Tribolium castaneum: one gene and its partners. The main gene of each other region encodes a partner of the protein of the gene in region 4 in a complex. Links are inferred from orthologs where the notes say so. Each region holds a gene or a part of one and is shown on either strand. Other genes may lie near its edges. The genes, in order: Usp39, U6 snRNA-associated Sm-like protein LSm6, LSm3, Prp3, LSm7, U5 small nuclear ribonucleoprotein 40 kDa protein and peptidyl-prolyl cis-trans isomerase H.

Region 1 (5,220 bases), on a different chromosome or scaffold from region 4:
CAATATTTTAATCAATTTTCTACATGAAAAATAGATTGGAACCCTTATTTTTCCTAAAATGGAGCTTCTAACTAGGTTCCTCAAAAGTTCAATTAATAATTTGTTATTCTTTTTTGCTTTAATCTCAATTTTTGCCCGAGAAAGATAAAATTTTTGGGGTTTAAATAATTGTTTGATATTTCCTTTGAATATATTATAGGTATAAAAAACTACCTCAGTTTTTTTGTGTTACTGTATGTTACTGTGTATTTCTGGAGTAAGGAGGGAGAAACAACTTAGGTACAGATTTGACGTAACTCTTTATTACTTTATTACTGAAAATAAGATAAAAATACACCCAAGTGTAAAGTCTATGCATTTGAATAAAAATATCTGATAATGAAGACTTTAACCATTCAAAACCACCTTAAGAAACTAGCCAAAACAAGTTCAAACCCAACGAAAGCATGGCACGACGAAAAGATAACTCGTTTAGTTTTTTATCCAACTTGTTTATGATTACTGATTGATTGTGTAATTGAATACGCCGGTCATCATTCCATTCGTCAACAAAAGAACATCTGGTTGAACCTTCGCTTCTACCTGAACCAGAAACCCCTAAAAACTTAACGACCTGAATCCAATCCTTACAAAATCGAGAAACTCACTTTCGCTTCCTCGCAGGCACTTTGGCCATCGTCACCGACGGCATGATCTACGGCTGGTCGTCCCCCAGCCTCCCCCAGCTCAAAAACAACGAGACTTGCACCTTGTGCATTGACGAAAACCAGGGCTCCAACCTGGCCGTCATGCCCCTGGTGGGGGCGGTCATCGGCTCGCTCACCGCCGCCACCATCGTCGACATCCTGGGCCGCAAACGCACCATCCTTGCCACCGCCGTCCCCTTCTTCCTCTCCTGGATAATGGTGGCTTTCGCCCCCAGCATCGTCCTCCTCTACATCGCGCGTTTAATCGCCGGCATCGCCGACGGCGTCACCTTCACCGTCGTCCCCATGTACATCGGCGAGATCGCCGACCCCCAGGTGCGAGGGATGCTCGGCTCCAGCTGCTCCGTGACCTGGATCGCCGGTTTTCTCATCATAAATGTGATAGGGTCGTACCTTAGTATTAAAACCACGGCACTTGTGTCCTCAATTGTGCCGGCAATCCTATTTATTACATTCTTGTGGATGCCGGAAAGTCCGTACTATTTGTTAATGCGTGGGAGGGCGGACGAGGCCCGGAAATCACTAGAACGCCTCAAAAAACGCGAAAATGTCTCCGGGGATTTGAACCGAATCCGGAACGCAATCCAGGCTGAGGAAAAGTCGCACAATGGGAAATTCGTCGACTTGTTCCGGGTGAAGAGCAACCGGAAGGCCGTTTTCATCATCGGGGGGCTCCGGGGCTTCCAGCAATTGGCGGGGACCACGGCTATTGCCTTCTACACCCATGAGATTTTCCAAACTGCTGGGGACCACATTTCCGCACATTACGCTGTGATGATTTACTACTCCATCCAGTTGCTCCTCACAATGTTCTCCTCGAGTATTGTGGATAAGGCCGGTCGAAGACCACTGTTGATCATCTCAATGGCGGGGTCGGCGTTAGCCCTTTTTGTCGAAGGGACCTATTTTTATCTTTTGAACGAAACGGACATTGATACGAGCTCATTTTCGATCGTGGCCGTTGTGGGGCTTCTAGCTTTTGTGATAATTTTCAGTTTAGGGATGCAGTCAATCCCGATTTGTATGTTAGGGGAGTTGTTTCCCACAAATGTGAAAGCTTTTGCGCTTTGTTTGGCCGATGTTTACTTCAGTGTGATGGCCACAGTGGCCTCCAAGTACTTACAAATAACTAAAGTAGAATACGGACTACATGTCTCGTTTTACGGTTTCGGGATTTGTTCGCTACTTGGACTAGTTTTTATTTATTTCTTTGTGCCTGAAACGAAAGGAAAAACCCTCGAAGACATCCAGAAAAAACTGAGAGGGGAAGTCGAAGTTTGTGATGAACGAGGCGCCGAAGAAGAGAAAGTTAGTCTCAAAGCGTAATTTTATTGAATAAAGTACTTATTTTTTTACAATTTCGAATTTTATTGCATAACCAGATTGACATTATTATTGACACCGTTGACAGTAAATATAACCTTAAAGTTGCAAACACCACACAAAAACAGTCCTAGCGTGATTTAATCAAAAATTAATTAAAAAAGCGTGAATACGATGGAAGCGGACGATGAACCTGCCATGAAAAAGCCCAAGTTCGAGGAGCCCCAAGCCAAATCAAACTCCTCACAACGTAAGTACACATAACCTCGAAAACGCAACTGAAACGTTCAATTTTAGCCGAAATTGAGCCCCCTTCTGACAATTCGGACCGGAAAGGTACAAAAATCAATCGATTAAAGCGCCCTGTTCTATTATTGTCTATTCCAGGTGGGAAGCCCCAAACGCATCGACTGTGCCCCTATTTGGACACAATCAACCGGCAATATCTCGACTTTGATTTCGAAAAATTGTGCTCAGTGTCGTTGACTCGCATCAACGTTTATGCCTGTCTTGTTTGCGGAAAATATTTCCAAGGTAGAGGCACAAACACACATGCTTATACGCATTCGGTGGCCGAAGGCCACCACGTTTTCCTCAACTTGCACACCTTGAAGTTTTACTGCTTGCCCGACAATTATGAAATAATAGGTAATAAATACTCTCAATTGTAGTTTTGAAATTAAGTTGGCAACATTTTTCTTCAAATTTCAACAATTTTACCCAACTCACTTGATTCGAGCTGAAGTTTTACACCGAATTAGATTAAATCGTTTCAATAACGCGAATGTTTGAGAGGGCGCAATGCCAGTAACGCCCCCCTTCAAAAATAAAGTGAAATCTTCGTTTTGTCGCATTTTTCCGATTGGCATTTTATTGAATATCGTTTTGTATGCGTTTTCAACCGAAACTAACTCGAATTAAACCGAGTAATCGTGGAAAAAATACAAAAATGACTAACCTTAGCGTCGTCTAACTGAATTTTTTCAAAACCGGCTTCCAGCTTGCTGCTAACACACTTTGATAGTCTACACACGTCACATTTCCGATAAAAAGTCGATTTGAGTCGTTTTTGCCACTTAACACGCACAAAACACCGGTTTTTCAACACGCAAAAGCAAAAGGACGCGCACTTCGGCAGACAAGCTTCACTCTAACGCTGATGTCACGCCAACGGCACCTCATTGGCTGATTTGAAAATGACACTTGAGCGCGCGTGATTTGAAATTCGCGCGAAGTCTTCAATTGGGAGACTTTTTACAAAGATTAGGATTTATACGTTTTTACAATGTCATAATTCACGAATTTTGTAAAATAAATGCCTGTTTAGCTCAAAAACATGCATAATGGCTTAAAAAAAAAGGAAAAATGAGATAATTTGTGGCCTGATTTGGTAATTTTGCGGCTTGTTTGGCATTTCTGCCTGAAATAACAAGTTGGGATCTTCGGAAAAGACAAACATTATGTAATTATTGAATCCGTTTGGTGGTTTTTCGGTTAATTTTTGTGTTTTTTGTCTATTTTCGATAATCGTGTTGTCAATTTCTGAATTGAAAAAAGCAAATACTAGGAAATGTTCGGGGAAGTATTCGGTTTCAGTAATCAGTGTTGCCACTTAATTTCAAGCTCCAACGATTTTTTTCTAACAAAATTAAATTACTCACAGATTCGTCCCTCGACGACATTAAATACCTGCTCAACCCCACATTTACCGAACAACACATCAGTACATTGGACGTTAGCACAAAAATGTCCCGAGCAATTGATGGCCTACTTTACATGCCAGGAATCGTCGGTTTAAACAACATAAAAGCGAACGATTACTGTAATGTTGTTTTACAAGCCCTTTCACGTGTTGTCCCTTTACGTAATTACTTCCTCCGTGAGGAGAACTACAGCAAGATAAAACGCCCCCCAGGTGACTCCTCTTACCTCCTGGTGCAACGTTACGGTGAACTGATGCGTAAATTATGGAACCCCCGAAATTTCAAAGCCCACGTTTCGCCGCACGAAATGCTCCAAGCTGTGGTTTTGTGGAGCAAAAAGCGCTTCCAAATTACGGCACAAGGCGACCCCATTGATTTCCTTTCGTGGTTTTTGAACGCACTTCATCGGGCACTTAACGGCAATAAAAAGAAAAACAGTTCCATCATTTACCAGTCATTCCTCGGAAACATGAAAATTTACACCAGGAAAATACCACCGACCGAGCTTGACGACAGACAGAAACGCATGCTTTTGTCAACTCCAGAGTACCAGGAGATCATCACCGAGTCACCCTTCTTGTACCTCACCTGCGACTTGCCTCCACCGCCTCTCTTCATCGACGAGTTCCGGGAGAATATCATCCCCCAGGTGAACTTGTACCAGCTCCTCACCAAGTTCAACGGACAGACCGAGAAGGAGTACAAGACTTACAAGGAGAATTTCCTCAAGAAGTTTGAGATTACGCGTTTGCCGCCTTATTTAATCTTGTATATTAAGAGGTTTACGAAGAACACGTTCTACGTGGAGAAGAATCCAACCATTGTGAATTTTCCGGTTAGGAATGTTGATTTTGGCGAGTTTTTGACGCCCGAAGTTAAGGCCAAACATAAACATACGGTCTATGATCTAGTGGCGAATATTGTGCATGATGGAGAGCCGGGGAAAGGCACTTACAGGGTTCATATTTTGCAAAAATCAACGGGCAAGTGGTACGAGATGCAGGACTTGCATGTGACGGATATTTTGCCGCAGATGATTACGCTGACGGAGGCTTATATACAAATTTATGAGCTAAGATTAGAAAAGTAATTTTTTACGAATAAAATTCTATCACCGGAATTTTTGTCTTTTATTTGTCCCTCCCTGATTTTTTTCTGTAATGAAACGTTTAGTCCAGAGAGCGGTTTGTTTTTGGCCTGATTTGGTCAAAAAGCTTTTGAGAAATCAGTCAAATCTTTAGTTCTTGAACATACAGATTAGTTATATTTAAAAGATGAATGCTTTATTATTAATTTTTTGTGAGACATTGTTCAAATAAGTTCGGTAAACTATTCGATTAAAAAAATATTTCGTGAATAAATAAGGAAATGCAATTGGATTTTAAGATCTTTATTTATAATTCTGCCTTGCCAGTTCTGGATTGAACTGATTATTGTACTTTTTGCCCCCAGTTTGAGGCTTCTCTTTTTCTTCCTCCGTCTTTTCC
Region 2 (3,059 bases), on a different chromosome or scaffold from region 4:
ACGTAGAAATAGCTGTTTAAAAACGCTCTGAAGTGGAAGAAATAGTCTTGAAAACAATGTTTTAATTTACGTAACCAATATTACACACGTACATTTGTTATGGACTATTTTAGTCACATTACAAACGATTTCAATAAGGATACAAATTAAATGCACAGTATTTTATTTAAACGACAAGTATTTTTAATCAGTAAAAATAATAATTGCACACTAAAAATAATAAATGCACAGTAAAATAATAAATGCACAGTAAAAATAATAAATGCACAGTAAAAATAATAAATGCACAGTAAAAATAATAATTGCACACTAAAAATAATAAATGCACAGTAAAAATAATAATTGCACACTAAAAATAATAAATGCACAGTAAAATAATAAATGCACAGTAAAAATAATAAATGCACAGTAAAAATAATAACTGCACAGTAAAAATAATAAATGCACACTAAAAATAATAAATGGACTGTAAAAATAATAATTGCACAGTAAAAATAATAAATGCACAGTAAATAATAGCATCTCAAAACTAGAGTGTGTAGAATTTCACATTTCCAATTTTACGTTTTTGAGTTTAATCGTTCGAGGAGTATTTTTCCTTTTAGTTTGCTGGGGCGAAGCCCTAGACTGCAAGCTAGCTACTGAGCGTTTATTATTTAAACTGTGCAAACTGAAACTAGATCCTGTGCATATACGATTTTTTTATTGGGCAAATTTTAAAAAAATACTGTGCGTGGTTTACTTGTCATTTAAATTTTTTACTGTGCAAAAATGAATTAAATACTGATGATTTATTATTTTTTACTGATTAAAATCGAATTTTTTACTGATCGCTTTATTACTATCCTTTCAATAATGGCATTTGAGTACTAAAAAGTACTACCCCCCGGACTGTTTTGTTATAAACCTGCCGGAGAAATAAGAAAAGCGTAACAAAAAAGCACTCAAATCAAACAAAACAATTTATTTAAGTTGATTAAAGTCAAATAAAACTAAAACGACAAAACATTATTGTTTCTCTTGGTTCATAAAATGATTCCTCAGCGCGTCCAAGGCGCGGTACCGATGAGAGATTTTATTCTTCTCCTCTTTGGGCATCTCGGCGTACGTCTGCGTGTACCCCACTGGCTGGAAACACGGATCCCATCCAAAATCCCTCGGCCCCCTCGGCATCACAATCTCTCCATCCGTGCGCCCCTCGAACAGAATCACTTTGCCCCCTTCATCGCCCGGATGATATGCAAAAGTACAAACGGCCTGGGCACTCTTATCCTCATGCCCAGCCAGTAGTCGAAACAGCCCCTCAGGACCCAACTTATCCAAGAACCACTTAATATAAGGACCGGGCAAACCACCCAATGCGTTGAAACACAGACACGTGTCTTCGACGATACACGGCCCCTTGATGATTTCGTACGCCGCTTGGCATTTTTTCACGCAAATATCGGCGATTTCGCCCTGGAGCTCAGGGAGGTCCACTTTTTGACTCACCACTTTGCGTGGGAATGTCGAGCCGAGGATGGCAACCACCTCTTCGAGCTTTTTGGCGTTGCCGGTGACGAATGTTAGCGGTTTCGACATGGTTTTGCGTGAAAAAAACAGGAAGTGGGGTTATGTACATGCCGATTTGAGGTTAGGTTTTTGTCAGCCGAGGCGGTTAAATAAGCAAATTTGAGCCACAAGCTGATAAGGATGAGTCGCAAAGAAGCCCTTTCGTCTTTTATTCAACAAATTCACGCCAGGCCTGTTGTGGTCAAGTTGAATAGTGGTGTAGATTACAGAGGTGAGGTTATGTTTGTTTTTTGTCAATGAAGGGGGCTATTATTTGGTTTTTAGGTGTTTTGGCTTGTCTCGATGGCTACATGAACATAGCGTTGGAGCAAACCGAGGAATACGTCAACGGACAACTCAAAAATAAATTCGGGGATGCGTTTATTAGGGGCAACAATGTGCTCTACATAAGTACACAAAAACGTAGAATCTAATGTATTTTTTGTAATAAAAACGTTTCAAAACTCAAAGTCGTTCATTAAAGCGCACTGATCGATTCTCGTAGAGCTGTTGTATAGCTCAAATAACTCGTTATTTGTCTCACACTCTTGTTTCTTTTTCTTACTTTTAACGAGACTACAGTTCTGATATTTAAATTCATTCAATGTGTTGTCCGGAGGAGTTGGATAAAATTCACAGATGAAGTCCAATTTAATTTTACAATTGAGTGCCCTCCACGTTTTTTCAACATCTAACATGACACAGTCTTCTTTTCTTCGTCCTGGTCTTGGGTGGCCCACAGCCCAGGCCCGAAACCGCGAACATTGCAAAAAGTCCCCCATTGGAGTCTCAAAACTCCCCTCAACCGTAATGTCGTCAAGGCCAACGTATGCCCCCTTGTACCAGTTAGGCAAAGACTTGAGTAACGCAGCTAGTGCGTTCGTCCTTGCCTCAGTCAAAATATCAGCCAGGTCGCCCCCCAAATCCTGGCACCGACGTGCGGCGCTGGAATAATTCATTTTTTCCTGAACCACTTGAAACAAACCGACTGATCTGAGACAAGTTGCGTTCGCTGTGGCTAAAATTCAATTCACATTAAGCCATCCTTCCAACACTCACCCCCACAGTTAAAGTCGCCATAAGCGCTGTAATAATCGTAACTCGGGTCAAAGACAAACGTGGTCGAGTTGTGGACTTCCGGACACCCCAACACCTCGCAACTCCGCGCTTTCTGGAGCTCAGGGGGGCTAAAATTAAACGCTAGCCCGTTTTTGTCCCGCGTGAATTGCATACAATCGCGGACGTTATCGAATTGTTTCCACGACAGTATCGGAAGCGTCGACTTGAAGCAACTCCTTAGTTTGTGGAATTTGAGAAAACGGTGATTTTGGGCGCACATTTTGAGCGCGAGGGCACAAGCCGCGAGGAGCGGAAGCACGCAAGTCGAACGCATGGCGAAAATTACGCTTTTATTGGGAAATTTCGAATACAAAGCACCGGAAAGAGTTAAACTGAGGAGACCACTGATTCGTTCTCTTGTGACTGGGCGTAATCTGCCTCGTTCGAAA
Region 3 (3,474 bases), on a different chromosome or scaffold from region 4:
TCCACAAGCCCCGCCTCCGCCACCACCTCCACCAATGCCGTTACTGAACGGCCCGACGACTAGTCCCCCATTGGTTAACGGCGATTTGGCGAAAATTATAAATAGTGCGTCGCCGCCGCAATTGACACCTGTCAAAGATCGGCCAAAGCAGGCGCCGCCTATCGTCGATCCCAGGAATGATTTACTCAAAGCTATCCGAGATGGGATTAAGTTGCGCAAGGTGGAGAAGATTGAACAGAAGGAGGTGGAGAGAGGGAACGGTTTCCACGATGTTGCGAGTATTTTAGCTCGGAGGGTTGCAGTCGAGTTTAGCGATTCGGATTCAGGAAGCGATTCGGAGTGTGATAGTGAGGGTTGGGGCGAAAATGAAACGTCGGCGTGACATAGAAGGAAGGCTAGCACGGCTAGTCAAGTGTATTGAAGCAACGAATTTTCAATTTTTAACGAGCAAACTTTAGCAATATGCCAAATTTCCAGTATTATTGAGGCATTGCATGATAAGCTTATTAGATTGCGTTTACAGTGGATGGTTTTGACTTGGGTTGAGATGTACATATTGTAATGAACGTTTTATTTATAAATTAAGTTGTATAGAGAATTATTTAACTCGTACTATCCTAATACTCCTTTTTAATATTTTAACCAATTATCAGGAAATCTTTGTAAAATACGATATTTAATGGGTAAATAAACATCATGTCAACGTATGTGTTTTATTTACGAAGTGCGCATTGGGGGTGAGACCAAGATCACGCCGTCACCTCGGACGAAAAGCATGGGAATATTACGTTTCGTCGTTCTGTAAACCTCTTCATATGTTTCTTCATCGATTTCAACCGTGGTTATGGTCTCTTCGGCGTCGCTCAGGATCATGTTCATGTGTTGGTCATAAGCCTGGAATTTCGGTTTGTGATGGATGGAACTTTGTTAGACAACTTACGTGGAGTCTGCCCCGGATTTCTCGATCGTTTCGCATTTTTACATAAATACGTTCGTCTAAACTTAACCTCACTAAATCGAGCGGTTCTTTGACGGTGATTGAGGGAATCTGAAAGGAGTGGTAGGTGAAATGTAATTCTAAATGAAATGGGTCTTACATTTTCTAAGTCATCTGCCATTCTCACGAAAGATGATACTTGTTTGTAATATTAAATTAAACAGGCCAAAAGTTAGGTTAAGTTGTCGTTACAGTGTCGCCACAATAAGAACACCTTTTTCGATTTTAACGATATTCGGACAGACCGGTCTTGGCATGTAATAAAATTCGGGCGGAAGGTGTTTTTTTGAATCTAAAAAAAATTTGTTTTTTAATTAAAGCCACAGATTATTACCGCGTTTTACTTTTTAAAATAATACAATCACTCGTTTTAGGGATCATGCATAGTTTAACACTCACTAACACTTAGAAATCGGCAGATTATACAGGGTGATTCTTTTAGGACCTACATTAGAGACTTTTTAACTTTAAAAAAAACTAGTGCTTTAAAAGCGACTATTTGAAATTCAACTAAATTATTTTCAAAATTTCTGAGCTTCCGGAACCACGACAAATTGGCGCCAACTTTAAAATTTTGAAGAGTAACTAAACATTTTTATTACATTTTTTAATTCACTCTCTCAAAGTGAGTAAAATTTATTAAAATTGTTGGTACTTATCTGTCTTAGTTTTACATATGTCAATTTTTTTGGTAAAATTTTTATTTGCAAGGGTTTATTTAAATTATCACAGCCTTTGAACCGTTTAGGAGAAGTGAATATATTTTTTTTTAATTCGATTATCGGAGTTTCGAAAAGTTTTCTAAAATTTTCAAAATTGTCAACTGTCAAAATTCAAGGCTAGTATGATTTTTTTAAATGGTTATTAAAAATAAAATCGGCTATAATTCAGTTTTTTCAAATGGATCGACTCTATTTTCTTAACGGCAATCGAAAGAACAATATTCATGGTGATTTTTATCAACACGTCCTGTACCTTACCTGTTACAGTTTTTGAAAAAATCACAAATAACGGATTTTACTTCGTAATTTTTATAGTTAATCAAGTAGACCTTGCAAAATGGTCAACAATTGTCAAACTTCGACACTTTACTTAGTTTTTAGCTGGTTCATTATCAAATAAGCAGCAAAACATTAATATTTAATTATGGTTTATGCTAACTTAGTGAATAACTCAGTCAGTTTGCCATCGAATTTTGAACTTTTTGAGTGAAAATGGGGGACAGTTTTAAAATTTCTGTTAATCATTAGTACAATTTTATCGTATTTTTTGAAAGGTTACTCGATTAAAAATGAAAATAATTACCTTGAATTCGGTTTTTTGAGATTATTTCAAAAACTGTAAGAGATAGATATAGAAGATGTTAATAAGTCTGCATAAAAATTGATGTTCTTTTGATTGCCATTGAAGTCATTCCATTTAAAAAAACTGTTCTATAATTGTTTTTTAATTATCATTTTCAAAATATCATAGTAGCCTTGCAATTTGACAGTTGACAATCGTAAAGATTTCAGAAGACCCTTCGAGCCTTTGGTTATCAAATGCAAAAAGAATTATTCACTTATTTTAAAGTACTCAAGAGCTATGATGTTTTAAATAAACCTCTGCAAATAAAAAATTTATCAAAACATTTGACATATTTCAAAAACTAAGACAGATAAGTACTAACAATTAGGTTTACATTTTACTCAGTTTCAAAAGGCGAATTCAGAAACACAATAAAAATAGGTGGTCACCATTTAAAATTTCAAAGTTGTCGCCAATTTCTCGTAGTTCCGGAAGTTCAGCCATCTTGAAAATAATTTAGTTTTAACTCAGAGTGATCGATTTGAATCGTGTACAAAATTTTAAAGCTCAACCTATGTTAGAAGTTAAAAAGTTTGTAATATAGGCTCTAAAAGAATCAGCACGTATATAAAATTACTGGTTGCTAAAGTCCATTCGGAATTAAAATCAATTTTCAAATTGTTTCAACGTTGGCAACTCCATTTAAAATTAGTCGTCTATGTCAATGTGGCAGGGTTCCAACATAATTCCAAAATTTTTGACACTGACAATTAATTTACAAAAAATGAGGTTTATAAGAGAAAGATTATTAGCACCGCACTAGACCTAGCTACCAACCTAACAACAACTTTCTATAGCTTAAATAACCAAAAGCACGACCGACATCCCAATTTAGGGAATTCCAGCAGGTGGATTGGCAATGATTATTCCACCAATTGCATTTCCGTTGATTCCGTATCTTATTTTCATTTCCTTAAAATAAGACGTCGCTGCATCTACCACTACTGGCTAATAACGTAAGCATTTTTAACTTTACACAGTTTCTGTTGCCCTTCATAATACATTTTCAAAGAATGGACTTCCACACTTTGTCTTCAAGCGACTCCATTAACCAAATAAGATGCACCTCGTGCAAAAACTACTTGTCTTACTTCCCCGTGATGTTAACCCAAGAAGAAACGTTATGTGGA
Region 4 (5,170 bases):
AAATGGCAACAAAGACGCCTAACGAAGTGTCCTCTTTGATTTTCTTGATTTTTTTGTCACGTTTTTGCTCGCTGGTTAGTTTTCGCGCAGCGTTGGCGTCTTCGTGTGCTTTTTGTCTTCTGGCCATTTGTTCTCTGACGTGAGCTTCGATTTTTGTGGGATCTTGGACAGCTTCGGTGCCTAAAGCTCGCATCAGGTTTGAAATACGTAGTTTGGGTTCTGGTGGCGGTTCTAAGCCCAGACGGATTTTTTCTTGCTCTTCTTTCCACATTTCGCGGCGGTTTTGACGGCGCAGCTTTTTGCGCTCTTTTTTCGTCAGGAATACTGGCATGTACACAGGCTTGATGGGGTCCGCTGTAAAGAAATGTTTTTTTTTTATTTAATTTAAAACAAGTCGTAACTAATTTTTCAGAGAAAAATTTTGCTTAATTTGGTCAAAAATAATCCAAAAATTTACGAAAATGTTGTAATGTTTCTCTTTCCAAGCGTTTAACCCCATCTTCGCTAAACTCGACCAAAAATTGCTAAAATAATAAGCTCAAAAAATGGACAAAAACGAGGTTCGAATGTTTTAGCAAGTTTGTGAGCTAGAAAAGCAATGATGTCGACAAATTTATTCAAAAATGAGCTCAAAAATCATCAAATGTAAGGTTTTTGGCAAAAATTCACTACCTGGGACCCAAAAATCACTTAAATAAGGTCAGGAAATTAAGGAAAAACACATTTATTGAGAGTGATTATTCCGTTGAATTTCTGCAAAAATAAGCTGGAAAATCGTTAACTTAGGATGTTGTTTTGTTTTCGAGGGCTTAAACGTGTTTTTAAGATAAGAAATTAAGTTTTCTTTAGCGAAAATTCGCTAACTGTGACTCAAAAATAATTTAAATAAGGTCAAATATGACATTATTTTCTTCTTTTTTGAGCGTTTTAGCGCAAGATTTTGAGCCAGAAACAATTATTTCGAAGAATATCTTTACAAACAAGCCTAGAAATCGCTAAATTATGTCGAAAAAAGTATTTCATTTGCTTTTTTCGACAGTTCAAAGACGTTCTTGAACTAAAAACTTTTTTTTTGGAGAAAATTTACTAACAAAAGTCACTAAATATGGTTGAAAATGGCATTATTTCTTCAACTTTCGGGCGTTTTGACACGTTTTTCAATTAGAAATAATTATTTCAAAGAATTTCACTAAAATAATCCGAAAAGTTGTCAATTTAGTGAGGAAAAAAAATCACTAAATAAACCAAAAATTACATCACTCTCGATCATTTCGATTGTTTTAACACATTTTTTAGACAGATATCCAATTATTTTGGTAAATTTCGGTCAGAAATAAAATGAAAATCGTCAAATTATGCTGATGTATGGTCAAGAAGACTTAAATTTTCGCGAAATTTCGCTAAACATTGCCAAATAAAGACTAAGTTAGGGCAAGTATTACATTATTTTTGCTTCATCCGAAGGTATAACAAGTTTTCGATGAATTTCTTCAAAAATAAGACGAAAAATCACCAAACTAGATAAAAAAACAGCGTTATATTTCACTTTTTTCAAAGACTTAAACAGATTGTTGGAATAAAATAGTTTTTTTCTGCAAATGAAGCCAAAAATGACATTTGTTTTAGCAAGTTTTTCAGTCAGGAACACAATTATTTAGGGGGATTTCAATTAAATCAGACAAAAGATTCAATAATTAGCTCATTAATAGTTTTTTTTTGCTTTTTTCGAGGCCTTTGCGTGTTTTAAACGAAGTTGTTCCGACGAAAATTCAGTAAACAGGATCCAAAAACACTGAATAAGTTCAAAAGTGAAATTTTCTTTTACTCTTTCAAGCGCTGTAGTCCGTTTTTTATCCAGAAACATACTTATTTCAAGGGATTTTATTAAACTGAGCCGAAAAATCGCCAAAGTAGGTCAATAAAAGCGACAGAATAATCAATAAAATAAGTAAAAAATTCTAATGTTTTGCAATCAGTTTATTTGTTTCACAGAATTCCACCCACAATAAGCCGAAATTTCGCAAAACTGAACCAAAATTATCATTATCATTACGTTTATTACACCAGAAAAATTCTTATATAAGAAACCGAGAATAAATCACATTTTTTTATATAACTCAACGTATTTCCCGACGGGAGACTGAAAATAAAAAAATAAAAATAGTTGTTCTTACTTGGACACCTCAGCTGGGTTGGATGCTCAACCAACGTGGTAATTACAGATTCCTTTATTGCGATTTTCCCATTGAGCATCAAATCTAAATTATCGATCAAAATAACGGAATCCCACCACTCCATCTGCGGTATGTCCTCAATCACCCCCTCAGACTTTGCAATAAGCGCAAGCTTAGTAGCCGACGAAATGCCGGTCTTTTTCGCAATTTGTGAAATTTCATTTTGCAGTTTTTCCAACTGGGCCTGAAAAAAAATTCATTATGACCCAACACACTTCCACAAAAAACCCAGACATACTTTCATACGAAGCCGCTCGGCCTGTTGTAAAAATTTGCCGGGTTCGTGGAACCTAAGCTGTCTTTTGTTCCGAATCGGCGGCTTTATCCCAATTCTCCCATCGTAAAATTTCATTTCGTTACTGTCGTCCGTTTTATCGCTCAACTGCGTCCTGAACTGTTCGCGCTTTTGGGCCCTGATGTTGGCCTTAAGTGTTGGGACAACGTGGGTCAGTTGCACCGCTTTTCCCGTCTTGTCGATGGTCCTCCCTTCGTCGTCCAGGATCAGGGGGGTGGGCCTGTTGGGCACCACTGGTATTTGTATGGCGTTGGTCAAAATCCCGCTGGAGAGCTTGCTCTTGATCTGGGCTTGCAGTTGCGCGATTTTGCGGGCCTTGTCGGCGTCGCCCCTGTTGAGGAGCCCCATGGGGATGCCGTAAATGCTGGGCTGGGGTATGTTCATGTTGATGTTGTTCTTGCCCAAGGCGAGCCCATCAATTAGGGCCCGCTTCCGCTCCTCGATTTGTTTCTGGGCGCTTTCCATGATCTCGCTCGATTTGGATTTGTTGCGGTCGGAGTCATGTCTACTGTCTCTATCGTCGTAGCGCGATTTCGAGCGCTTTGAGTCTCGTTCTCGGGAATCGTCACGCGATCGTTTTTTCGACCGATGCGAGGCATGATAGTCTTCGACTAAATCAAATATCTTTTCGGCTAGTCTTGTCGCCTTTTTGCTATCAACATAAGACGAAAGTTTGTCAGTAGTTTTGCGCCTATCGTACCCTGAATTTAAACAATGGACTGCGGTACTGACCAGGGAGCTATCACTGCTGCCGAGCAGTTTGTAAACGGCTTTGTCTATAGAGGGTTTCAAGTCCTCCACTTCTCGCCGGGAGAGGTACGACATTTTTGGCTTTTTTAACAATTATCAAGATACGATTTCCAACGTTTACACACACGATTTTAGGTTAGAAGTCAAAAATTGGACAACACCAACGGAACAAACTGGAAATACCCTATATCCCAATGACAATCCCCATGTCAAAATGACAATTAGGGGTTATGGGCATGTGACAAGTGTAAATAAATAAAAAAATCAGGAAGGGCCATAAAGCCATAGCCATAGAATAAGGGAGAGGCCATAATCCCTCGATTGGATTAACTTACAATGGGGGTTGAAGTCGATGTTGAGTTTTGGTAAAAAAAATGGAGATGGTTTAGTTTTATTTATATCATTTCAGAGATTATTTGTAGTGGGACTTGTGGATATTTTAAAAAGTTCGAAGAGTTAGCGCAGCATATTAAAGCCAAACACCCCGATATTGAACTGAATGGGCATGAAGGCAGGAGAGCCACATTTGAAGTTAAAGTCAATGGGACTTTGGTTCATTCTAAATTAACTACCCTTGCTTATCCTGACTATGACGACCTTTCTGCGATCATTGATGAAGTGGCTCAAGGAAAAGAACCACGAAGTTGTAAACAACAGCCCATCACCAGTTGCATAATAGCTTGATAAAAATTAATGTATTATTTATTTTTGTGAGTTTGTTGTGAAAATAAAAATATATGTGTAAAAAGGTTTCTTGTTACTTGCAATCAAAAGTCAGATAAACTGATCGCGTGACTAAATTTGACCAATCAGATGCTTAAATTCACCGCGGATTAACTTTTAACAAGGGATTAAGTTTTAATTTCTTTTTTGGCGGGCGTTAAAATTTGGAATGGCCTGTGTACAATATAATTTTATGCGTTATATTTTGGTTCCTTGATCCAAACATGAGAATAGATTTGTTTGGTCAAGCAGGAAGTGGAAAACAACTTTACAGCTGTAATAAAATTTTACGATAAACAGTGAAATAAGTGCAGTGTGAATGTAAATAAGTATGGAACCAAACTTACCTATTTTATATTTAGGAACAATACAAACAGTAAGTGTAAAATCTATTTTTATGCTGGGCTGTTGCAGTAGGAAGATCAGTCTGTATTGCAATAAAAGTCCTTGAAAATATCTTGGTCAGAGTTTTATGTCAGTTTTATTGTTTCTTACAAATAATGACATTTTCAGTGTGACTATACAAAAGTGTAACGAACTTGAATTCACCCAAACAATGGTAAAACAAATTTCTACGTAATATTGCTTGTTTCGTAAGTCGTGGAACAACTAAAAACAATTCAATTTTTGGAGAAAAAGAAAGGAAAATTGAATGGTTTTTAAACCTCACTCGCAGCGTTGTTTGTTGTAGGATTTGTAGTATTTTCGCAACAATTCGGTGAATAAATAAAACTGACAATATTTGTAAGTGTTGTATTGTGAGGTTGCAGTAGGAGCTGTACTGGGTACAGTCTCTTTACACATGAGATTACAAATTGAAAAAATGGAAATAAACCAAACAACCGGAACAAGGAAAGACACACACAACTACTGACAAAAGAGTTGTAAAAATACACTTACACAGCTGGAAATGAGACTTAGTAAAAAATACTACAGTCCCAAATTTTAATTTTTTAATTACTTGTTACAATTAAAACTCGCATTCTGACACCGATACAGAAATTGCAGGCATTCGTTTAAAAGAACAGTTTTCTTAAAATCCCACTCACTCAGACGCTCCTATAAAATACATCACATTTGGATGTAAATTACATATTCTCAATGGACATAATATTTATAAGTATGTTATACAATTTAAATTTATCTTCACTATACAAAATTGATCCTA
Region 5 (3,318 bases), on a different chromosome or scaffold from region 4:
CGTCCTCGTCGGCGTCCCACTTTCTGGTCAAAAACGGGTACTTTTGGCTGATAATTTCGCCGTCGAAAAACGTAGTCAAGGTGGGATACTCATCGGTGAGCCCGTTAATTTGCAAATAGCCACACAAATAGGAGTTTTCCTCGTCGACGTGCTGGAAAAACGAGCGAAATTTAAATTTCCCGCCATTTCGGATTGCATTAGCATATGTTGATATTTTTAGTTTTCTTTAAATAAGCGGTGAGCAAAAGGGACGTCACACGTCCTACAAGGGTTCGAACGGTACAAAGTCATCGAAATTTTGGTTAAGGGGGGCAATGGTGCGATTATTTGCAACTTCTAACCTGTAAAACCACTTCCACTTCGTACGAATTGCCTTTCGATTTCTGGAAACCTTGAAATTTGGAGCCGTTGTATAAGAGGGACTTTGTTACCCCCGGCTGTTTTGAATTGGCCGGCGGGGGAGGCGTAATATCCACCCTGACCGGCATTTTTAAAGCACTTTTGCACTCAACTGTCACCAATGTCACTTTTTTGAAAGGAAAATGGCGGCGGTGAGTCATCCGAGTCGGTCAGAGCGTTTTTGCGCATGCTCGGTGCGCAACAGGGCCATTAAATGTGTGGGCGACTGTACTCAACCGTAGTTTTGGACAGAAAAACCCATTTTTGCAATCAACTGAATCAACCCAGATTTATTATTTGGGGCAATTATTCGTTAATCTCAAGCGTAATTAACACGTTTTTTGTGTGTACGCTTTAATTACTTTTGGTTATAAGCATTGGTGGTTGCTTACGCTCATTATAACTAAACTTCTAATTAATTTATTGAGCTAGTTTGTGCAATAAAACAGTTTTATTAATTTTTTACCGGTTTTATTCAAAAAAACGTCTTACAAATTAGAGGTATTTTTATGGTACAAAACTTAGTCTTGGGATATAAAGGGGTTCTGTATGGACTCCATGCCGTCCATGGGGCATATGAGCACGACACTTGTGCCCCTACAGACCACCAAACCCAAGGCCCTCGTGTCTTCTGTTAATTTATAAGGGTCGTCTGGATCTCTCAAGTATTCGATTGTGTTGTCTAAGACGAGGTTCAAAAGGGGGTCATAGCCTTTTAAAATACCACTAGCTTCTCGGCCGCCCGCAAATTTCACCCTAATTGTCTTTTCAAGGTATTTAGAGAGGTCTAGAATCGACTCTTTACGTTTCTTCTCTTTTTGGTCACCGCTCTGATTCTACGGTAAAAATGGGGGTTGAGGGGGCGAAATGGGGCAGTTTGGGGTACGTACTTTTGATTTGTCACCTGACGATGCCATTGTTCGGCTTTATTTGTGGAATTTTGCCGATTTTGAAATTCTAACCTAGAATACGTTTGGAGGTGACGCGTGCATATGGTCTCCTATGCGCACGGAACCTTCCGATTAATTTTGAAATAAAAAAAAATAATTATCGGTTTGTAAAGTCCAGCAATTTCGTAATTAATTTTCTTAGCTTCTAAAGAATTACGTAAAAATTGACGCAATTTTGGGACACAATTTGTAGAGGACTGCTTGCGCAGTGGAGGTACAAAGTTTCAAATGAAAAATGCAAAATTCTCGGTTATCATTTATTCAAAAAAAGTTATTTACACATTGGGGCGTTACTAAAGCATTAATACATGTTAACTATTTGGGCTTCAAGCCCTGGCAAAATGTACAGTATGGCAGAAAATTGTTTGTACTGTTGGTCACGAAAGTTGTGTCAGAGTACTAGAACGTGCTCTTCGACTCCAAGACCGCACAAATAAATCGCTTTTCCCTCCTCTAACGTACATCCAATTTCCAATAACGTACACGGCGAACAATCAAACTGATAAACACTGAAAAAGTTAATTAGTTTTTTTTTCCTACCAAACGTGTGACCGACTTACGCAATTGTTAAATTTTCGTGTAGAAACAAATCGTCGTTACTTCTAACGACGTGATTAACAAGTGAGGGGTTTATCGAAGGATTGATTTCCATTAACGTACAGTTTTTAATTAGGTGTTCTTTGACGGTGCTATTGCATTTAATTTTTCTAATTGTACCGTTTTTATCCGAAGTGAGGAGATTTAAACTTAATTGAGCGGCTTGTGCGCGTACTAGTTTCGTCAAAACGTAAATTGTGATAACTCCAGATAGGAAAATATCACAGGTGAAAATACGATGGACGTAACATATTGAACTATTCAAAAATTCTTTAGTAATTAAACACCTAACACCAGTACTGGTGAAAGCACACTGTAAACAGTTGCACTTATTGTTCAGTGTTGGTATTTCGTGGTGGTTGGGGACCCATTCTAGTGACTTTGGGTGCTTGATTTTTGAGAGTTGCGGGTGTTGCGTGAACAGGTCGTAGACGTCCTTAAAATTAATGCATTTGTTTTTATTAAGTTATTATAATTTTACTTAAAAAGTTATAACCCGCTATTTACATAAGACAAGGACAGAGCTATAGGAGTTCCGATAGGAAAGAGTGAGAGAGAAAGGGCGAACTATTTTTCGTAATACGAACTTGGGCGCGTTATAACTAATTAATTAGTTAAATACCTGGTTAACTCCAGTGAAAAAACTGGTCTTGAAGAACCTCGTAATGGGATGCGTGTATAAATAGGGCCACAGACTGTTCCAAAAAGCCGAGTCTCGATTAATAAAATCCTCGAAGAATTTTTGCCGATTTTCACTTTTGGGCAGCGTTTCGTGCGTCCAGCCTGGCGCGAAAATCGCCATTGATAAGTTGTGTCTCCTTATCATCTGGGCGGCCTTGAAACAGTTGAATTGACCGCCTCCGAAGGTATTGCGACCGAAGACATCCACCCCCACGTAAACGTCCAAAGTCCGATGCTTTGCAAATTCAATCGAATTGTGGATATTTTCCTCAGTCCATACGTAATTGAGGAAAATACCGTCACAATTATCGAAGAAAAATTTATTAAGGGGGTTGAGCTCATTTTGCCATTTCAATTCGCCCGTTTCAATGATACTGTCGTACCAGATGATTAAATGGTCGGGGTTTTGGGTGTGCGTTTGCACCCCTAAGTAGGCAACGAATTTTTTCAACATTTCGGTGTCTTGGAGCGAGTTTTCGATGTTGAGGAGCCACCCGTCGAATTGGAAAATTTTCAAAATTTGGGTCAAAGAAGTTGCGAAAATTCGCATCGTGTCCTCGTCTTTGAAAATCTTCTCGCAAATTTTTTTCCCCGGCTCGAATTCTGTTATCAAAGTTCCAAGAATTTTCACGCCGTTTTGATGCGCGGCATTTATCCAACACAAAGGTGGGATTGTGATTAGGTGGTGACT
Region 6 (4,892 bases), on a different chromosome or scaffold from region 4:
TTGAGATCTTGAGAAGATAATAGTGAATTTTATCGTGTGCAATACAAAATTTTATTCCATCCTCCATTATTTCGATTGAGTTACTGAGCTATTTTGATTGACAGTTATAAACGTCAAAAACTCAACAAAAACAACAATAGTTGTGAACAATATTATTTCTCTAAGTGATAAAATTTCATTTATCCTTGACGATGGAATAAATAAAATTTTAAATAAAAATATAGTTTGGATTCTTTTAATTTCATTATGAAAATGAACAGAGTTAGAGTGATTAGAAGTAAAGAAATGATTGTACAACTTAAAAAAACAGAATAAAATCATAAAATTTTCTGTTGAATTGAATGCGGAAGACGTTTTTGAATTTGGTATTGCCTTTATTATAAAAAAATAAAATTTTTCGAAAAACTATAATTGATAATTTTCTTTATTTACATCCTCATATGTTCCTTCTGAATAAAGTTAGAAACCTTTTTGGAGAAGATCCCTAAATGAATATAAGTTCAGACGTATATAGGGTGAGTCTTAACTTACACGCATAAATTTAGGGAATGATAGCCTTTCTAGTAATAGTTATTTACAATTTACCTGTAGTAGGTAAAATTTTACAGCGTGAAGTTTTAATATTGAAGCTCGAAACGAAGTTGAGGGCTTTAATACAAAAATTGAACCCTGTAAAATACCTAACGCACAAATAACTTGCAAAACTGGTTGGCCAAATATCGCTAAAAATAGATAAATAATTACCACTCAGCATTTAGATTATTTTACCACGCAATGTCAACATTTTACTTAGCAAATGACTAAATAGTAGTCATTTATACGGACTAGAAAATTAAAAAATTCTAGAATGAAACCATAAAATTTTCTGTCCAATTATTCTACAGAGTAAACTTAATATAACACATAAAATTTATATCTTAGTTATGGCTTATTTTTTTCAATACACAAATCAATTTTATTTTTAGAAACGCTAGTCTTTGACATCCAGTTATTGAGAAAAGACATGTTAAAATAACATTTTAAATAGCCACCAACTTTTTTGTTTACTATTTTAGTACTACACTCCTTCATATTTCTGATAAATATAGGGTGCTCAAAAACTGGCGCACCAACTCAGTGGTACATTATTGAGAAGCAAGTGCAGATTACGGGAAAAATGTTTAAAAAATTCCTAAAGTCATATTTTGAAAAATCTGGAGCTACAAACTTATTGTGTTAACTTCTTTAGTTTTCATTATTTTTTTTATGTATTTATGTTTCATACCAAGTAATCGTTCCGTAACAAAACGATGAATAATTATTTTCAAATTTACTATCAGATTTTAGCAGTTTTTTTAATTTAAAAAAATTAAAATTCATCCAAAAAATCGCAATGTGTAAATGTGCCAACACTGGCAATTATTTCCTAGGAAACCGTTTCAAAAATAATTTATTTTTATTCTTGCTCAACTTCTGTTGCGATCATGACTGTTAGACAACGTTGCCACATATCATTTATCCAAAATCCGTTATTTATCAATAACTTTAATACAAAGAATTTTTTACTATTTTTACCTTTATATGTAACCAGTTCTCTACCACACACCAATGAGTTGGTGCGCCAGTTTTTGAGCACGCTGTATAATAAAATTCAAACAAATGGAGCAAAAAATCAAAAAACAAAAAGAATAAAAAAATGAAAGAGGTAAAAAAGTTATGAATAATTTTACACAAGGGCTTTATTTTTCTGTTTTGGCTTTATTTTATAAGAACGATTGTTTGTTTTTCCTTATTTTTTTGTTTTTAGGTTGTTTTCATATTAGTTAAAAAACAAAAATAAAAAACATGCACCCCTGATAAAACAAAGCAATAACAATTCGTGTATACATATAGTCGATTTTTTTTATAATCAACTGTCAAAGAGCCGTCAGGTTAGTATTACCATAAATAGTAATTTTTACTAAGATGGTACTAATTTTTACCTGGCAAATTTAATTTAATGGTCTTTAAGTTACAACACGCACAACACATTTTTTTAAAAGGCTAACAAATTCTAAAGACTAACGAATTCAAATTTCATTGGCTGCAAAAATTGTCCCGAATGTCAAATCTGGTGTGTAAAATGTCAAATACAGAATACAGCTAGTTTCGAAAGTGATTAGACATGAGATTTTGGTGTGATACAGTCTGGTCTTTATCAAAATTTTGACACTGACAGTTAATTATAAAAAAGAATGAACTGTAGTTATCAAATTATTTTTAACAGCTAATGTACCTGTACAAAATTTAAAAATATTCTTGTTACAAATAGTTTTATTTTTGAATAAATAAACTAGTTCAGAATATTTTAAAAATGAACATTTGCTTCCATTTATTTAACTTGGTAATTTTTAACTACTATTGGAACCTGCACACAGGCGGCCAATTGGCATGGCTCAGCCCTGCTAACATCAACTGATGAATTATGTTGCACAAACAATTGGAAAAACAGCTTTAAGCTTATTATTTACATTTTTATCAATAACAATTGAAAATTTTTTACTCTTAACTTTCGAATTATGTTAACCCCCTGAATCAAATTCCCAACGCACGGGCGTTAATTTTAAGACACCCTCTATGTACTTCAAATTACTATATTAGATATTCAAGTAAATCCTCCAAAATTTTGATATGAAGACCTATTTGGCTGAACCTCATTGCAAAAAAAACAACTTACAAATTCTACGGTCGAAACCTGATGAAGCTACATATTGACCCTCAGGGTGGAATTCCACTGTGAAAATCTCACCCTCGTGGCCCTCCAGTAACATAATGGGGGCAAATAGATTGGAAGTTCTCGCAGGGGCCTGAAATACATGATTTGAGGAGGGTTTTTGAGGTTAAGTGTTACTAACCGCTTGTAAGACCGATTTGTTTTTGTTCGATGTGGCCACTTCATTTTTCGATTTTTTGCTTACGGGGACTAGAGATGATGAATCTTCGGCTCGACGTTTCTCAACAACCATTTTTGGTGTTTTAAACAAAAATTGGGAGGAAAACAATAACCTCACTTTTTAGCGTCAACAAAACGAAGCGATAAGCGCCCTCTGGTGGAGAGCACGAAGTACGATTTGATTGTATACCCTGTTTCAATTATATAAAACAAATAGTTATCTCCTTTGGAATAAATGTTTGACAACAATGAAATGGTTTCCCAATGTCGATATCTAAAAATTATTTGGTTTTTTACTTGCCAAAATTTCGAAAACGATTAATATTAGCTCACTTAACTCACTTTGCGTAATTCTTATTACTTTTTTGCTCTAAAATTGTCAGTATTTTCCCGGTACTAACAGATTTTTGTTAGTAATTTGCAACACTGAAACACAATTAAGTTTCTCTTGGCAAATATTTGAGGTACAACCCCATAAGACTGTTGCATTATTGCGCCATCATTTTTAGTGTGTCGTACTAATTTTTTGGGATTAGAAACTCCTGTAATTTTATATCTTGTTTCATCTCCTAAGTTTAGGAGGAACCCCCGGAGTTTAGGCTCATTTTCAAACTACAAACATCTTTTTTGCGTAATTTTACTAAAATAGATTGATAAGAATGATATCTTCCAAATTATAGTCGTTATTATAGTCTGCTTTGTTTGATTCAGTAAAGTTTCGACTTAAAAACTACATATTTTCTTAAATTCTGTCAGAAGAAACTTAAAAATCAGCAAACTTGATCAAAATTAGATACTAGATACTAATGTTTTTTGTGTAATTTTGGCAAAACAATCCAAAAGGTTGTTAAATCGTGTTAAAAATAATGTTATTTGTCTATTTTCAGATGTTTATTTAATATTTTAGCACTTTTTTTCGTGAAAAAACACCGTGAAAATCCTTAAATTAACTAAAAATTGACTTGACTTTGGTTTATTTTGCTCAATTTTTGAACTCATTTAAACTCTAAAATAAATCAGTTTGTAAAAAAACTCTTAAAATGACACTAAAAATCATTAATCGAAAATCCCAAATTTGTTGGAAAATTATGTTATCTGTGCCTTTTTTAAACGTAGAATTTTGTTAACAGACCGACATTGATTAATGATTTCTTCCTCTTAGACGATATTACAGAAAAAACTTAAAACACTGATTGCATGCCAAAAAAATTGCCTAAACATTTGCAAATATTTACGTACGTTTCTTCCAGAATATGTATATCCTGTTTTTATAACTCATTTTAATTAATTTTTACTTAAAATATTTACTTCCGTGCCTACGGAGAGTGTGATGCAACTAATCTAATAAAAATATTTAAAATAAGTGCTCAAACATTAAACTTTGCGACACGCAAAGTGGATAAATATTTGCGGCATTCCATCAAAGTTTGCGTAATTTCCATATTCTGTAAAATGCATGTGTTAGATGGAAAGAAATAGCAAAATAAACATTTATTAAAGTGGATTAGCAGATTATTTCAACAATAATAAATAGACTAAAACCTACGTCATAAAAAATTAATATCTTGCAATAATATCATCAACAACAAATCGTGTTACACATTTCACATTTTTTTAGACTAGTTTTAACTAAAATTAACTCCGTCAAACAATTCTCTGTCTTTGGTTGAATAAAAACACACAGTTTTTCCTAATAGTGCCGTCGGAACGGATCTTTAATATAAGCCCCACGTTTGGTTTCTTCCCGAATAAAAGTGAAGTAACTGAAGACCACAAGCCACATGTAGACGTAAATAACTGAAACAGGAAAATAAGAAAAACGAAACTATAATTTTTCAAATACTTACTAACTGCAATGATGCCCAAAACAATCCATAATGTACCCTCTGTTGATTTCCCATTAATATAAAATTGAACGGCGGTGTAAATCACCGAAACTAATATACCTATTGCCAACATAATGGCTAGAATTACCCAAGGC
Region 7 (3,394 bases), on a different chromosome or scaffold from region 4:
TTTTGCAACCGCTGATCGCTGACCTCCCACTTAATTATTGCACCAATTTCCAAATATTGGTGTTATCAAGATTAATATTCAATTTAATTTCAATCGCTACTGATAACACGCCTGTTAATAATGTGTTAACTTGGGACAAATTTAGGTTATGAGGCAGGTGGTTAGGATAAGCGAAGCGTTTGTGTCCTTACCTAGGTCATCCATGGTAATAAGCTGCCGTTCTAATACTAATTTTAAGCAAAACTTCTCAACTACATCACGAATTATCGGCACTTTTTAGGAAAATGACCTTATTTAGGCATTTTCGCAGAATCACAAATGTCAAGATATGAAATTCCAGACGGTCAGTGTAGGCAACCTTGAAAGAAGTAAACAACGGACGGGCAGCGCCTCTCAACAAGTTTTGCAAAATTTTAAAAACCAAAATTTTTTTCCCGCACAAACCTTGCGAATTAACTGACTGAGTTGCCCCCCGTATCTAAGTGACTTGATAACTGCGTAACGAAAATTACGTTAAGTTATGATTTAATAAAACATGATAAGAACTGATAGTGATAAGGACGTCTAAGAAGACTGCAAAATCCAGCACAAAAATAAAATTAAATTCGTTGCTCTTGTTTTTATTTAACTTTAGTCACCGTTGGTGAAGTCCCTGATCGGGAATCCCCACAACCCAGAGATAAAAACCATAACAAGAAGATAAAGTCATAGACCCCACAGGTCACCGTATATAAATGCAGAAGTTTATCATCTCGAAGGTTACTCGTGTTGTTCCATTAAAGGACGTGCTAATTAAATAAATAATTTTAATTTTGCATACAAGGCAAAGTTGAATATGGGACGAAAGTTCGTGATTATTTTCTCAATTTTGCACCAAATTCTGGCTCGAACAGGTAAAACCACCGCTCAAACCCCATCCATTGCTAAATGAGGTGTTTCCAGAGTCAAACTTGCCGGCAGTGTGCCCCGAAATCGTGAGTCGCACTAGATGGGGGGCTCGCACTGCTTTGGAAGTGGATTACGCCCTAATCCCTGTCGAAAACGTGGTCGTGCACCACACGGTGACCAACACTTGCAGCACTGAGGAAGAATGTGCGGCGATTTTGCGAAACATTCAGAATTTTCACATGGAAAATCTAGATTTTCACGATATTGGATACAAGTAAATTTGATGATTTTTGTTTTTTTTTTTTTAATTATGGTTTAGTTTTTTAGTGGGTGGTGACGGCCAGATTTACGAGGGCGCAGGTTGGCACAAAGTGGGGGCGCACACACGTGGGTACAACTCCCGGTCTTTGGGGCTCGGTTTCATCGGCAATTACACGAGTAGGTTGTTTTTCGTGTTATTTTCGTACTTTACGAGCCTTTTATTACAGCTCAACTTCCAAATAAAAAGCAGATACAAGCCGCTAAAGATTTTCTCCAATGCGGGGTTGAGTTGGGAGAGTTGGGCAAAAGTTTCAAACTGTTTGGGGCCCGCCAAGTCAGCGCGACGGAAAGTCCGGGCCTAAAGCTGTACCGCGAACTACAGAACTGGCCGCACTTTACCAGGTCCCCGCCGAAATAAACTGTATTCTAGTTTTTAAAATAAAATTATTATAAAGCATACGATTTTGAATTTAAATATGGCGCCCATTAGTCGCAAGTTTGAGGTTATGTTGTTTTGATTATTCGAGGTTAGGGAACTAAAAACCGTAAAAATGCCGAATTGGGACCAAATTCAAGCCCAGTTGAAGCACCCAGCGAACCCGGTCGTGTTTTTCGACATTTCCGTCGGAACTACGGTACCAATAACCCAAAATTTCCGAAAACTGTATTTTTCGATTACAGGAAATCGGCCGAATGATTTTCGAGTTATTCGCAGACGCGGTCCCCAAAACCAGCGATAATTTCCGCCAGTTTTGCACCGGCGAGTTCCGCAAAGACGGCGTGCCGTTGGGCTACAAGGGGGCTAGTTTCCACCGAGTTATCAAGGACTTTATGATCCAAGGGGGCGACTTCGTCAATGTAAAAATCACGGGATGCGATTCCGCAACTAATTAATATTTTTAGGGCGATGGGACCGGCGTTATGAGTATATATGGGGGCGGAACGTTTCCCGACGAAAATTTTAACCTAAGACATGACGGTCCTGGACTTCTATCAATGGCAAACAGCGGCAAAGACACCAACGGTTGCCAGTTTTTCATAACTTGTGCAAAGTGTAATTTCCTGGACGGCAAACATGTGGTGTTTGGACGCGTTATTGACGGACTTCTCGTCATGCGGAAAATCGAAAACGTGCCCACGGGGCCCAACAATAAGCCCAAAATCCCGGTCACAATTGTACAATGTGGCCAAATGTAGTAGTGTAATTCAAATTTTAATAATAAAAGCACAAAATAAAACTTAGTTTAAATTTTTATTTTGTCAGGTTGGTGGTCCCATAACCTCACTTGTCAAAAACGTAAATAATCGTGAAATGGAAAATAAAAAAATATCGTTCGGTTTCAGCAAAATTAGTAAAAAGACCGAAATCAGGTCAAGTGTTCCGAAACCCGAAAATAAGATACAGCTAATTGACTGTTTAGAGGGTCAATCAATTAAAATAAAAGGGTATGTTTCGTTTTTGAGGTTATGTTATTTTTGCCAAAAACCTCATTTTAGTGCCGTTGAGGAGACAAATGAGCCGTTGGTGATACCAATCCAAGGCCCATCAAACAAATTAATAGACCAAATAAAAAAAGCGAGGGAAAAACACGTCAAACCTGAAGTTAAAGAAGAGACAGGGGAGGCAAATTCTGTGCCAGACTCTGCCCTATCTCTTGACGAATTAGCGGCAAGAGAGTTAATCCGAGGTACTTACCCTATGTTTCAAGTGATTTTCTAGTGTGAATAAAATTTTCAGAGGCACAGACTCGCAACACTGTACAAAGCGAGACAAAAGTCTACTCCTTGCCTTTAAATGACGACAAGTTTGTGGCAGAGGGGGCACAGGAGTCGTCTCTCGACGACTACGAAAGTGTACCAATTACAGATTTTGGTATGGCGATGTTACGTGGCATGAATTGGAAAGAGGGAATGCCAATTGGGAAAAGGACCAAAAAGTTGGTTTAACTTTTCTAAAACACATCCTGAAAATGATTTTTTCTAGATCTGAGGTCCCAAAAGTCCCAGAGTTGCGCCCCAAAGGCCTGGGCTTGGGTGCCAATAAAATGGTCAATTCCAGCACCCCTTCACAAAGTGTAGATAAGGAGGGTAAAGCGCTCCAGCTTGTGAAGGGGGCTTACGGTAAAATAATAGCCGGCAATCACAGAAGTCAATACTGCCAAGTCCAGGGTCTGGATGACGAAAATTGCAGAGTTATAGTGAAGACAGCTCTCACGAATGAGATTTTAAGCTTAAATGAATTTTT

Evidence for each region.
Region 1: Prp3 (region 4) and Usp39 share a complex: the UniProt entries of both Homo sapiens proteins name them as parts of the U4/U6-U5 tri-snRNP complex. The link is inferred for Tribolium castaneum from reciprocal best matches to the Homo sapiens genes PRPF3 and USP39.
Region 2: Prp3 (region 4) and U6 snRNA-associated Sm-like protein LSm6 share a complex: the UniProt entries of both Homo sapiens proteins name them as parts of the precatalytic spliceosome. The link is inferred for Tribolium castaneum from reciprocal best matches to the Homo sapiens genes PRPF3 and LSM6.
Region 3: Prp3 (region 4) and LSm3 share a complex: the UniProt entries of both Homo sapiens proteins name them as parts of the precatalytic spliceosome. The link is inferred for Tribolium castaneum from reciprocal best matches to the Homo sapiens genes PRPF3 and LSM3.
Region 5: Prp3 (region 4) and LSm7 share a complex: the UniProt entries of both Homo sapiens proteins name them as parts of the precatalytic spliceosome. The link is inferred for Tribolium castaneum from reciprocal best matches to the Homo sapiens genes PRPF3 and LSM7.
Region 6: Prp3 (region 4) and U5 small nuclear ribonucleoprotein 40 kDa protein share a complex: the UniProt entries of both Homo sapiens proteins name them as parts of the U4/U6-U5 tri-snRNP complex. The link is inferred for Tribolium castaneum from reciprocal best matches to the Homo sapiens genes PRPF3 and SNRNP40.
Region 7: Prp3 (region 4) and peptidyl-prolyl cis-trans isomerase H share a complex: the UniProt entries of both Homo sapiens proteins name them as parts of the U4/U6-U5 tri-snRNP complex. The link is inferred for Tribolium castaneum from reciprocal best matches to the Homo sapiens genes PRPF3 and PPIH.

Annotation. Positions count from the first base shown.
Region 1 is NC_087394.1:36,569,511-36,574,730, reverse strand, and holds Usp39 (ubiquitin carboxyl-terminal hydrolase 39), read left to right. Parts: upstream 1-2,060; 5' UTR 2,061-2,204; coding exon 2,205-2,280; intron 2,281-2,327; coding exon 2,328-2,366; intron 2,367-2,417; coding exon 2,418-2,678; intron 2,679-2,988; exon of another isoform or gene 2,989-3,232; intron 3,233-3,693; coding exon 3,694-4,823; 3' UTR 4,824-4,853; downstream 4,854-5,220. Other genes in the region: facilitated trehalose transporter Tret1, read left to right, coding at 664-2,033; leukocyte receptor cluster member 1 homolog, read right to left, coding at 5,124-5,220.
Region 2 is NC_087398.1:10,390,895-10,393,953, forward strand, and holds U6 snRNA-associated Sm-like protein LSm6, read left to right. Parts: upstream 1-1,644; 5' UTR 1,645-1,692; coding exon 1,693-1,783; intron 1,784-1,836; coding exon 1,837-1,985; 3' UTR 1,986-2,009; downstream 2,010-3,059. Other genes in the region: inosine triphosphate pyrophosphatase, read right to left, coding at 1,009-1,581; uncharacterized protein LOC100142353, read right to left, coding at 2,010-2,569, 2,611-2,944; adenylate kinase isoenzyme 1, read right to left, coding at 2,998-3,059. UniProt on the Homo sapiens protein: Plays a role in pre-mRNA splicing as component of the U4/U6-U5 tri-snRNP complex that is involved in spliceosome assembly, and as component of the precatalytic spliceosome (spliceosome B complex).
Region 3 is NC_087399.1:10,142,925-10,146,398, reverse strand, and holds LSm3 (U6 snRNA-associated Sm-like protein LSm3), read right to left. Parts: upstream 1,256-3,474; 5' UTR 1,119-1,255; coding exon 1,098-1,118; intron 1,049-1,097; coding exon 941-1,048; intron 895-940; coding exon 718-894; 3' UTR 700-717; downstream 1-699. Other genes in the region: SCAR (actin-binding protein WASF3), read left to right, coding at 1-382. UniProt on the Homo sapiens protein: Plays a role in pre-mRNA splicing as component of the U4/U6-U5 tri-snRNP complex that is involved in spliceosome assembly, and as component of the precatalytic spliceosome (spliceosome B complex).
Region 4 is NC_087397.1:1,256,968-1,262,137, reverse strand, and holds the start of Prp3 (U4/U6 small nuclear ribonucleoprotein Prp3), read right to left. Parts: upstream 3,355-5,170; coding exon 2,473-3,354; intron 2,419-2,472; coding exon 2,175-2,418; intron 355-2,174; coding exon 1-354. Other genes in the region: migration and invasion enhancer 1, read left to right, coding at 3,616-3,644, 3,702-3,963. UniProt on the Homo sapiens protein: Plays a role in pre-mRNA splicing as component of the U4/U6-U5 tri-snRNP complex that is involved in spliceosome assembly, and as component of the precatalytic spliceosome (spliceosome B complex).
Region 5 is NC_087399.1:1,125,331-1,128,648, forward strand, and holds LSm7 (U6 snRNA-associated Sm-like protein LSm7), read right to left. Parts: upstream 1,450-3,318; 5' UTR 1,317-1,449; coding exon 1,290-1,316; intron 1,236-1,289; coding exon 921-1,235; 3' UTR 849-920; downstream 1-848. Other genes in the region: glucose-induced degradation protein 4 homolog, read right to left, coding at 1-151, 342-488; ENGase (cytosolic endo-beta-N-acetylglucosaminidase), read right to left, coding at 1,741-1,858, 1,910-2,382, 2,569-3,318. UniProt on the Homo sapiens protein: Plays a role in pre-mRNA splicing as component of the U4/U6-U5 tri-snRNP complex that is involved in spliceosome assembly, and as component of the precatalytic spliceosome (spliceosome B complex).
Region 6 is NC_087399.1:11,299,192-11,304,083, forward strand, and holds the start of U5 small nuclear ribonucleoprotein 40 kDa protein, read right to left. Parts: upstream 3,083-4,892; 5' UTR 2,985-3,082; coding exon 2,874-2,984; intron 2,826-2,873; coding exon 2,696-2,825; intron 1-2,695. Other genes in the region: uncharacterized protein LOC656468, read right to left, coding at 4,602-4,708, 4,759-4,892. UniProt on the Homo sapiens protein: Required for pre-mRNA splicing as component of the activated spliceosome. Component of the U5 small nuclear ribonucleoprotein (snRNP) complex and the U4/U6-U5 tri-snRNP complex, building blocks of the spliceosome.
Region 7 is NC_087395.1:17,966,085-17,969,478, reverse strand, and holds peptidyl-prolyl cis-trans isomerase H, read left to right. Parts: upstream 1-1,621; 5' UTR 1,622-1,700; coding exon 1,701-1,784; intron 1,785-1,830; coding exon 1,831-2,007; intron 2,008-2,052; coding exon 2,053-2,346; 3' UTR 2,347-2,391; downstream 2,392-3,394. Other genes in the region: peptidoglycan-recognition protein 2, read left to right, coding at 836-893, 943-1,162, 1,208-1,326, 1,377-1,567; G-patch domain and KOW motifs-containing protein, read left to right, coding at 2,462-2,595, 2,647-2,837, 2,888-3,086, 3,134-3,394. UniProt on the Homo sapiens protein: PPIase that catalyzes the cis-trans isomerization of proline imidic peptide bonds in oligopeptides and may therefore assist protein folding. Participates in pre-mRNA splicing.